Astyanax mexicanus: one gene and its partners. The protein of the gene in region 3 purifies or fractionates together with the protein of the main gene of each other region. This does not show direct contact. Links are inferred from orthologs where the notes say so. Each region holds a gene or a part of one and is shown on either strand. Other genes may lie near its edges. The genes, in order: snrnp200, dhx15 and sf3a2.

What was found.
Region 1: the proteins of sf3a2 (region 3) and snrnp200 purify together in Homo sapiens (affinity purification with mass spectrometry; 4 studies listed by BioGRID and IntAct, with this or other methods). This does not show direct contact. The link is inferred for Astyanax mexicanus from reciprocal best matches to the Homo sapiens genes SF3A2 and SNRNP200.
Region 2: the proteins of sf3a2 (region 3) and dhx15 purify together in Homo sapiens (affinity purification with mass spectrometry; 4 studies listed by BioGRID and IntAct, with this or other methods). This does not show direct contact. The link is inferred for Astyanax mexicanus from reciprocal best matches to the Homo sapiens genes SF3A2 and DHX15.

What each region holds. Positions count from the first base shown.
Region 1 is NC_064419.1:15,951,448-15,955,047, forward strand, and holds the start of snrnp200 (U5 small nuclear ribonucleoprotein 200 kDa helicase), read left to right. Parts: upstream 1-1,303; 5' UTR 1,304-1,527; coding exon 1,528-1,572; intron 1,573-2,666; coding exon 2,667-2,830; intron 2,831-2,910; coding exon 2,911-3,082; intron 3,083-3,600. UniProt on the Homo sapiens protein: Catalyzes the ATP-dependent unwinding of U4/U6 RNA duplices, an essential step in the assembly of a catalytically active spliceosome. Plays a role in pre-mRNA splicing as a core component of precatalytic, catalytic and postcatalytic spliceosomal complexes.
Region 2 is NC_064415.1:27,957,512-27,961,345, forward strand, and holds the start of dhx15 (pre-mRNA-splicing factor ATP-dependent RNA helicase DHX15), read right to left. Parts: upstream 3,046-3,834; 5' UTR 2,925-3,045; coding exon 2,857-2,924; intron 1-2,856.
Region 3 is NC_064411.1:49,889,658-49,893,491, forward strand, and holds the start of sf3a2 (splicing factor 3A subunit 2), read right to left. Parts: upstream 2,866-3,834; 5' UTR 2,766-2,865; exon of another isoform or gene 2,762-2,765; intron 1,560-2,761; 5' UTR 1,487-1,559; coding exon 1,289-1,486; intron 1-1,288. UniProt on the Homo sapiens protein: Component of the 17S U2 SnRNP complex of the spliceosome, a large ribonucleoprotein complex that removes introns from transcribed pre-mRNAs.

The DNA of each region.
Region 1 (3,600 bases), on a different chromosome or scaffold from region 3:
GATTCGTAATTATTACCTCCAACTTCGTAAATAATATAATATAATATAATATGATATAATATAATACAATATAATACAATATAATATATACTACATAAATAATACTTATTTGAACCCTTTCTCCCTCAAAATTGTTGGTGTCTGATGTTTAAAGTGCTGAACTACAAGCCAAATCTATTTAAAGAAGTTACTCGTTAAATGTCTCATTCCATCGTTTTTTTAATTAATTTTAAAATGTCTAGTTGTAGGTGTCTAGTTGTAGGTGTTTCTATTTATCCCTGCTTTAGATCACTGAATTAGAGGTCTCTGAAGAAAGACAGGTTTTGGCTCTTGCTCATGAATATTCATACATGCAAATATATAACCTCTGATTGGCTAGCAGCACTGCAGAAGAGAACGCCTACCTGCTCCCACCCCCCCAGTCAATTTTACAGCTCTAACACTCAAAGGACAAAATGTTTTAAGGGGTTTTAATGAATTAAGCAATAAAACATGAGAGGGAGTGCTATAACGTGTAATATTGGCACTGCTTTACTGCGTTCGTAGGCCGAGGACAAGAAAATCTGATCTGTTGTGTTATAAAAACTTAAATTAAAACATTTCCATTGCTGCTCTGTTTGTAGCTGCGCTGTTTGGCTTGTAAGTGCTGCATCATTGCTTTGGTTATGGTGCATTACTGGCTAATAATGTCACTCATAGAAAGCCTCTCTTAGCCAATCACATCAAAGGGTCGGAACTAATTGTGGTATAATTGTCTTTAATTAACGATCAATCTTCAAGTATGAGTTAATAAAGTTCTTAATGTTTTAAAAACTTTTGTAAAATGTAAAAATTTGTTCATTTATACGCTCAAACTTTGTTGTGCTTGTTTTGTAGTATTACTTTTATAGCAATGTTAGGCCAAACATGAATCTGATATAAGAAAAGTAACACATCTAGTTACACAGGTGGTTTATTGTGTCAATAACCAATCAAATTGATTATCTCTGCTGTTCTGTATTAAACAAGGGATTAAAATATAACACTACATACATCTAATGCTTATAACTTTACCGAGTCACATAGGGTTGGTTGACTTTTAATAAAAAGTTGGTGTTTTTTATACACTATATTGGTCCATGTACAGGACCAGCGCATTCAATCCAATCTGTGCAGTTTTTAAAGGAACTTTGGAACTTTGGCGGCACCTGTCGGTTCTTTAGTGGAACTGCGCCTGAAAATAATCCGCATGCGCATTCCCTACTAACCTCCAATCCACCAGGGGGGGTAAAGTTACCATTCCGGAACCACCCGGAAACGGAACTGTTTGCGTGACATGCTGCGCGCGTCGTGCGTGCGTTGTGAGTCTTTTGTGCGGGAGAGCAGAAGCAGCAGAACCCGCAACTTTTCTTCTATACCGTACTGCTATCACCCGGCCCCGCAGCTTCCCGCAGCACCCCGCAGCTCCCCGCAGGCCTGTAGCTGTAGCTGTGTGAGCGGTTAGCCCGGGCTCTGAGGATTAGCCGGGGCTTACACTAGAGCTGCAGGATGGCGGATGTTACAGCGCGTAGTCTGCAGTATGAGTATAAAGCGGTGAGGACAGAAAAATACTACAGCTCCCTTACTCTACTACTCTCATACTGTTCCACTGTAACTGTTTCTCTGTTATTATCATACTCTGTTACACTCTTAATCTCACTGTTCCAGTCACTCGGTTACTCTCATATACTTACTGTTGCAGTTAACGTTACACTCTTACTGTTTCTCTCTTACTCTTATTCTCAAACTCTCTTACTGTTACACTCATACACTTACTGTCTCTGTTACTCTCATACACTTACTGTTACTGTTGCACTCTTACGGCTTCTCTGTTACTCTGTTATTATCATACTCTATTACTGTTACGTTGTTACACTCTAACTTTTACTCTCTTAATCTTACTGTTCCTCTGTTACTCTTATACACTTTCTGTTACAGTTACACCCTTACTGTTTCTCTATTGCCCTGTTGCTCTGTTACACCTTTACTCTATTACACTCATTGTTTCTCTCTCACTCTGTTACTACTGTTACTCTTATTGGTTCTCTCTGTTCTTCTGTTACACTCCTCTGTTTCTCTGTTTCTGTTACACTCTTCCTTTGTTGCTTTTACACAGTTGTTACTTTTACACAGTTAGTATTACTTTTACACTGTTACGGTTACTTTTACATTGTTACGGTTCTTATTTCTCTCTTTTAACGTTACACTGTGACTCTGTTACACTCCTACTCTATTGCTCTGTCACTGTTACACTCACGCTGTTACACTGTTACTGTTTCTCCTTCTTATTTTCTTACTCTGTTTGTTGTTACACTCTGACTCGTTTGTTACACTTGTTTGGCACACATTAATACTGTTACACTTACTCTTTATCTAATGCACTCAGTTACATTCGTACTGTATTACTATGTAACTTTCTTACTGTTACTGTTTTACACTCTTACTCTCACTGTTTCTCTCTTACTCTGCTACACTATGGTTCTGTCTTACACTGTTACTCTAACGCTTACTGTTTCTCTGTTACTCTTTCACTGCTACACTTACTGTTACTCTCTCAATCTGTTACTGTCTCACTCACTTTTACTGTTACTGTGTTACTCTCATACTGTTATTGAGTCTGTATCTCTGTCTCTCTGTTTGTGGTTCAGAACTCGAACTTGGTTTTGCAAGCTGATCGCTCTCTCATTGACCGCACTCGCCGAGATGAACCTACAGGCGAGGTGTTGTCTTTGGTTGGGAAACTGGAAGGGACCAAAATGGGAGACAAGAGTCAACGAACGAAGCCACAAATGTTGGAAGAAAGGAGGGCAAAGTACGTATTCTCCAAATTTGCATTAACATTACGTTTCTTTTGGTATTAGCCTTCTCATTTTTCCCCTCTTTGTGTTGTAGGAGAAGAAAGCGAGATGAAGACAGACATGACATTAACAAAATGAAAGGATTTACCCTGCTGTCAGAAGGAATTGATGAGATGGTGGGTATCGTATACAAGCCAAAGACCAAGGAGACCAGAGAAACGTATGAAATCCTCCTCAGCTTCATTCAGGCTGCTCTTGGAGACCAGGCAAGTTCAGTATTTGTTGTTTATAGTTAAAACTTTTTGAAAGTGTTTAACAGCATCAAAAATATAAGCACTCTGGGGAAAAAAAAATATTCCAACATTATATTATTAGATTAGTATGATTGTAGAATCAGGTCTGTAGTACTGTATTTGGGTTGTGGCTGTGTTCTTTTTAACGTGTTTGCTTAGCTAAGCTTTATTTTGTATTATTCAATACCGCGCTCAACTTAAAAGTGTCATTAACAGACACTGCTCATGTTAGTTTTACTTTGTACTGTGAATCATGTGTAGTTTCGTGCATATTAAATTTACCTGAGTTCTGATTTATTTCGTTATTCCATCCATGTTCTCTGCAGTGTGGCAATCATAGGGCCCTGTTAAGTGCACAGTCACCATTGTGTGTACAATACAAGTACCTAGTTATTAAGATTGTCACACTGCTTTTAGGTTTGTCGCTAGGGATCCTTGTAATGTTCAATTCAGGGCTTGTATGTTTCCTTAAAATCACAAGCTTGATTGAA
Region 2 (3,834 bases), on a different chromosome or scaffold from region 3:
TTCCTTTTTACAATCTTCTGATTGTTCACCAATTCCTGAACTATGTTTGGGGTAAAAGGAAGCAGTGAACAACTGTTTTCTTCCCTCATGAAATCCAAGTAACGTAATCGGCTGGTTCAACGCATTAGCTAAAAAGCATGTTGATATAAACTGGGTCAAATCTGAGAGAGCAGAGAAAACAATGCAGCAGATTAAGCCTCCCAGACAGGCACATCTACCTTTGTCAGTATTTTGCAACCATGGCCCTGGAACACCAATGATCAAAAATGAGTAAAAACCGGCAACACTTGTTGACTGAAGTATTTGCTATTTATTAGAGATGATTAAAAAAAAAACGCATACATGTCTAATGCACTGCACCGTGTAGTTTTTGCCTCTCTAACAAGTAACCTGATTCAAACAATCAGCAGATTAATGAACTAGCCCATTATTAGGTTTACGTGGGTGTTGAAAAATCATTAAAATATTCAGAATAGTGGGCCAGAGGGCCAGGACTGACCAACACTGGTTTATATCACACTTTCTACTAGTAATGTATAAAAGTGTGAATAAAAATGGCATTGCATATTTTTCACAGTATATATTATAAACCTTAAAATAATACAGGGATTTTCACCAGAAGTCACCAGCATTGGTTTGGTGTCTGTATATTTCCAACTGATACTTGCTGATGTAGGCTATATATTGAATACCAGAAAAAGACTAAGCACTGACTGTGCAACAACTTTAAAATAATTTATTTCAACATTATATTTTTATTTTATATAATCTACTGTTTTATTTATTCTGTCAATTGTTAATGTTAAAAGAAGGTTTTAAGCTGTGACCAGTCTAAGGACCAGTAAGCTAAATAGATGTAAACCAAAATATTAAAAAGTGACACCTTTCATTTTATTGTTTGCGTACTGTCGATTTTAACATTTATTTTTAAAGTCTCTCGGCAAGTCAGAAATATGTAACTATATCGGCATTGGCCCAGATATCCCACATTAGTGCATCATTTTAAAGTGTCCTCACTTATTGACTAGTGGAAAAGAGGCCTTTGTTTCTTTGAAACAAAAAAAAGCCCTGAAATTGTTATGTTTACTCATGTAGAGAAAACAGGCAGCTTCTACAAGTGTCCTGTAGGAGATTTTAAAGCCTTCAGAAATGTAAATAAGTTATTTTGCTGTAGAAAAAGGGTTTTTTGTATGATCTACACCTGTAGCATTTATACGGAACAAGGGTTATTTACGTAAAAGGTTAAGTAAATATACCCCTTCAACGTCCTTATTCATTTATTTATTGGTAATACTGCTTAGCATTGCTTTTTCTAAGGGCATGTGTGCATCTAATGTCTGTCTTGTTGTGTATTTAAACTGTGTATAAAATAATAAATATAGCTACTTAAATGTCTTATTTCTTAAAAGGTAAAACAAACAGTCAACAAAGTTACCTGACATCAAGCAACACGCCCACTACACTCCACACATGGCTAACTAGAAAGCTAACCTTAGCGCTTCGTTTTAGATCAATTAAGCCTGTCATTTGTTGTCTAACCCCTTCAGCTTTGCAGCAGCAGCACTTCACTACTGCTAAAACAAAACATGTTAAACAATATAACGAGATAATTCAATCAACTGCGTGCGAAACGTAGTTAGTCAGGTTAGCTAACCTAGCTTTAGCTCAATTTTAGACAGAGCGGGCGGCAAACATGAATTGGTAAGCTATGTGATGCTAACGTTAGCTTAGCTTCTGGTGCTAACGCTTCCAGCTTTGTGTTGGGCAGGCATGTGTGCCTGGAGACACGCAGGTCGAACGAACTGCCTAACTGGCTAACTAATCATGCGTGCAGGTTAATCAGTAAACCGCACAGCAGGGTTGCACACAGCTAGCTGTGATGTTAACGCTATTCAAAAAAACTGGGACAGGGGATTATCCAGCTAGCTAAGTTAGCTTAGCTACACAGGCCGCATGGAAAATGGACGAGTAAGCAACGTCCATGCTAGCTTAGCTTAGCTAGTGAGAAGACCGGTGTTCCGTCGAGTAAGGCTACCCATCGATACCTGCTTCCTAAAGGCACTACGCATGCGCTGATCTACAGTTATTCATTTTTTTATATATAAAATATGCATTTAAAAAAAAAAAAAACTTTTTGTGCATTATACAACCGGGATTCACTGTCACCGTGAAAATGAATAATGATAAATACATAAAAAAAGTTGATTAATAGTTTGTAATGACCTCTCACTGCCATAACTTTCAATAATACAGTGATTTATACTCTTAAAAATTCTACATAGACTTTCACTGGGACCATCTTCTAATATGGTGCTTCTTTTGCATTTTTAAAGTTAACTTACACTAGGGTAGCACGGTTTGACAAGGTAGCATAACTCGACAGAACACCGGCTAGCTGGTTATGCGTCTATATAGCTATTTAACATGAATATAAACCGAAGCATGAGTTAGTACATTCACTATAAACATGTACAAACGAGAAAATCAGACTTCTCGTATGAATGTTATGTAAAATACTCTCTAAACTGGTTTAAATGAACTGAACAGATAGGTTCACTAAGCTATTAGCATTGCCCACGTGCTAACGTTATCCTAGCGTTGCGGATGCGACACGAAACCAGCCGGCTGCTCTCTTGGTTTACCTTGCAGCTTTACCTCACATCTAACACCGGGTTTACACAGACAGAAAGAGCTCAAATAAAGGGGCTAATACACTCTAACGTCCTAATAACACCCTGTCTTGCCACTGCGTCTATAACCCGCCTGTCCTGCCGACACAAAGAGGCCGAGCGGCGGCCGCTCAAACATGAAGCAGCAGCAGAAGCAGTTTTTCATCCACACGCCGTTTAAACCCACCCGTCTGAAGACCTCTTCTTACTGGACGAGTAATCATCGCCCAGGTCCAAGCGATGCCGTTTAGACATCTCAGAAACACGGGATACAAAACGAGTTAAGAACTAAAAAATAAAAAAGGAAAGCGGTCCGCGGATTAATATCTCAAACAAACCACCAACACACACACACACACACCGCTAAGCGACAAGATGGCGACCGGAAGCACTTACCTCATCATTATTATTATTTCTGAGACTCAGAGAGGGAACGGGTTTCAGCCTCTAGAGCGAAGAGTAAAACAGACCCCGCTCTTATAGTAAAAACACCGCATGTGTTCCCCGCGGCGGCGGCGCTTCTCAGCGCGGTTAAGGCGCTCGCGCTGCGGATGCTGTACAGCGGTGCTCCGGGGAGGATGATCTATGTAGCGCCAAATTACCGTTTTCCCTCTGCAGCAGCTTCCAGCAGCCTGCAGTACCGACACCCGCCGAGCAGCGCCGAGCCCTGCTCCCCACAGACAGAGCCTGGAGTGTAGAAACGCGGGAAAATATTATATACAGATTATATTTTAACCGTCCGACCAGTTTATCGGCCTGTTCACTCAGTTTAATACATCAATGCCTCAAAGTAACATTTCTTTCACTCGGTTCTTTAGTCTGTTTCCTCTATTTATCAATATGTTCCCTCTATTTATCAGTATTCCCTCAGTTATAATACATTTATCTCAATGTAAACATTTTTCCTCCAGTTTATCAGCATGTTCCCTCAGTTTTAAATAAATGTATCTAAATTTATCTCAGTGTTTGCTCAAGTTTATCAGTGTGGTCCATCAGTTTAAAGGACCAATATGTAACTCATTTTCAGTAGTAAATGATAAAATGATCAGGATGTATAATCAGATATTAAGGAAACATGTTGAGTTAAAGCACTGGCAGCTCTTGTCAGCAGGGCTTTGGCCCGTACGTTCCTATTTTTAGTGTTTACTCCATCCTGAGTTTTGTG
Region 3 (3,834 bases):
ATCTATTCATCTGTTTTTATTAAATGCTGCGGAGCTTTAAACGCGCGGATGAGCTCGCGTTCAGTCTCGCGTTCCCGCTCGGGTTCAGGCAGACAATCTAAACTTTAGTATGCAGAACTATATTATTATTGTTATTAATTTTACATTCTTTTAAATAGCAGGATACTTTGATTTTTATTTCTCAGCCCGGACGAGACCGGGCCCGAGGAAAGTAATGGAAAATCTCGGGTCAGTCCAGGCTCCAGGAAATAGTCATCTGTTTTTTAATACTATTTTTATTTTATATAAAGCTACGGCCTGATAATCACCATATAACAAAGTATTACTGTTAACGAAAACGAACGAAATAACGAAAACTGAAAGTGAAAGCTCCCCTTAACTGAAACTAATAAAAACGGTAATTAAAAGAAAAAAATAAAACGAACTGAAATTACAGATTGAATACCCTCATTTTTGTGTTTGTTAATTTATTTATAAGCGCTGTATCCACTACAGCAGCGTAACAGCGGGTGGTGTTGTGCCGTTTCTGCTCGTGAAGGGGAGCCGGGGTTCAGATGTCGGCAGCGCGATGCAGCGCGCAGCGCCTCGCGGTCCGCAGAATTGCTTATATTTACAGCCTCGAGCTAGCTGTGAAATAAGGACAGGAAACTCTGAGGAAGCTGCAGAATTCTGTACGGTATTAGAATATGAGCGTGAGTGACATAAAAAAACTGTTTTGTAGAGAAATAGGAGATGAGGAATATTTAAGGAAACAGCTGTAACTTTGAGTAAATCACACTGAACACCCCATGCTGCAGGATAAACTGATAAATCTAATCATTTTGGTGGTTGGTTGGTTAGTTGTTAGGGATTTATTGTCACTTCAGCACAAATGTGAAAATTAGTGAAATCTGTAGAGTTTATTGAGTTTTTGCTGTATGATCTCCTCAGTGAGAATCCCCACCCCATAACCAATCAGGGAGCTCCAACTGCTGACCCCTCCTACTGCTCTTTCATTGTGGATGCACAGAATGTCTTAAACGTCCGTTTTTCAAAGTCCAGGTTTGGCACATCACGTGGTTAATATACCGTCACTATTTTACAATACCGTCACCATATTTAAATACCGTGGTATACCGAAATACCGTCATACCGCCCAACCCTATGTAGGTTGCAAAATGTAACCAGCGAAAGATTCTAAAATACAATACAATTCAACAAGCCTGAGTACTCTAAAAATCTTGTAAGGTAAACAACAAAATTTGATTGGTTAGAGGACTCCTCTGCATAAAAAGGCCTAGAATCTTACCTCATTATTGTGAAGCGTGAGACACAGTTTGCACTCATAAGACCCCAAATGGTTTTTCATGAAATACGGATCCTTATTGATGTCTATCGTTTCCAAAGCCAGCTGCCGTAAGCGTTCCCGGCGGTCTCGGTTGCTCTCCGAGGCGGAGGCAACTCCACCGCTGCCGGTTTTCCCTCCAGCTCTGTGTTGGAAATCCATCTTCACACACCAGGGGGCTCAGAAGCCGAGACTGAGAATCTCAGACTCTCTGAACGAGTAAATGTGAGCTGACCTGATTCATCAAACAAGACAAGAGAAACACACATGTTACAAGTTACATCACATCATCACAATATTTTTTTTTTTATATATATTGTGTTATTTTACATATTTACACTTACATTACATGCATGTTTATGGCAACTGGCTGGTGCTCTTTTATACAGATCAAAACGATTTGAACCAGAGGAATAAGAAAACAATGAAAACCTGAAATTAAAGCTCATTAGTCTCTAAGCTGTGAATTGCTTAGACACTAGATATTCACTATAGTTTATTGATTATTACAGTACCAATCAAAATGTCTATGTTACTTCCTTTTCTTTATTTTATTTATTTTGTACACTGTAGACTAATATTAAAGACATGAAAACTTTTAAGGGATGCATACGGAATTATGTAGTAAACAGTAGGGGTGGGCGATATGGCTCTAATATAATATCACGATATTTCAGGGTATTTTTGCGATAACGATATACTTGGCGATATAGAAAACCAGAAAAATAATTAATTAATTTCAGGAATATAGTATAATAATAATAATAATAATAATAATAATAATAATAATAATAATAATAAGAGTATAACAGCATAATCATAATCTGGCAAAATAAATAATATAGCATAAAATAATATAATGCAGCAAAAATATTGCAGAATATTTAGTGCATGCATATAAACTGCAAACTAAAACAATTATACAATAAATACACCTAAAGCTTCACAGTAAATAATAGACTACTTTTAAGACAGAACATCTCTATTATCACGATATGGATTTTTAACATCACGATATTTCTATCACGATATATTGTATACGATATAATATTGCCCACCCCTAGTAAACAGTGATAAAAATGTTAGTCCTCCACATTAATCCCCTGATCTAAACCTGATCGTTAGAAGAAGAGATGACCAAACTTTGGTCTGGTACTGTATACAGACCATTTTACACTGATTAAGATAGTTAAGTTTGGTTAGCTAGCGGTAGCTATGCTAGTTGTTGTTTCTTTAGCCGGATAACTAGCTAGGCTAACTGGCAAACTCTAACTGCTAAACCCCATTCAACACTCAACAGCCAGTTCCCGCTTATATTAGAGACTTATATAAAATCGAATACATCATTCTACAACCACATAACACACTAATAATTACAAATAATAAATAATAACCGTATATGCGCTATAAACTATATTATTTAAGAATATATCTCACCTACCTTAACGTCCAGCTCACGCTTCTCCCCGCAGACTACACGTTTGCGCATGCGCTGAACCAGAGCACGCTTCCTCTTCCAGTTATTCCGGTACAAAATAGTAGTTTTGTAGTTCTGTAGTTCTCAGTGCAGCATACAGTTAGATTAATGACTATTGTAGGATTTGTGTGCAATTATTTAAAAAAAATACTATAAGAGTATTTTTTGTTGTAAAGTTTGGACACTTCTCATCTTCTCACTGCAAAAAAGCTCTTTATCACTGGCTGAGAAGATTTGGCAATTTTATTTTCCTGTAAATATTTTTTGTTGTTATTTAATGTTTTATTGGTTTCAAAGTAATTGCAATTTACAGGAAAATATTACATTAATCAATCTCAACAAACAAACAAAACATTTGTTGGCAGCACACCAAAGAGAATAAGCACCAGTGTTGTAAGCAATAAAAGATTCTATAAATTAATAAAGCAATCAAAACAGTATAAGTATAAGTATAAGAATGGTACATAGCTACAAGTTAATCAGATTTTAATATTCTACTGCCTTGTCCCACACTTCATAGTATAACTTACATTCTTGGTTAAAAGAATAGGTCACTCGTTCCATCAAACATTGGACATTTTTTCATGGGCACAAACCACATAGAACAGCTACATACTCAGCTCTGCTGCTCCTCCCACAAATGTGGTTCCGTTTAAAAGAAAAATTAACAGGTTTTCCAATGGTTTAAGATTTACTGCCAAGAAATCTCAATGTCATCCGCTAGTATTGGTCCACTGTGTTATATAAAGTTTAAAGTCAGTGCACTGTTTTCCGGAAAATCTTACAGCACTTAATGCTTTCCTCTGCTGACAACTTTTATGGAGATGCAGATTTCATTTTCCAGCAGGACTTGGCACACTGCCCATTACCAATTGGTCTTACATAATATTCTAATTTTCTGAGACACTTATTTGTTGGTTTTCATTGGCGCTTAAAATAGATCTCTCTGTGTGTTATACATCTATATAATATATGAGTTTCACAGTTTGAACTGAATGACTGAAATAAAGTAACTTTTTAATGATATTCTATA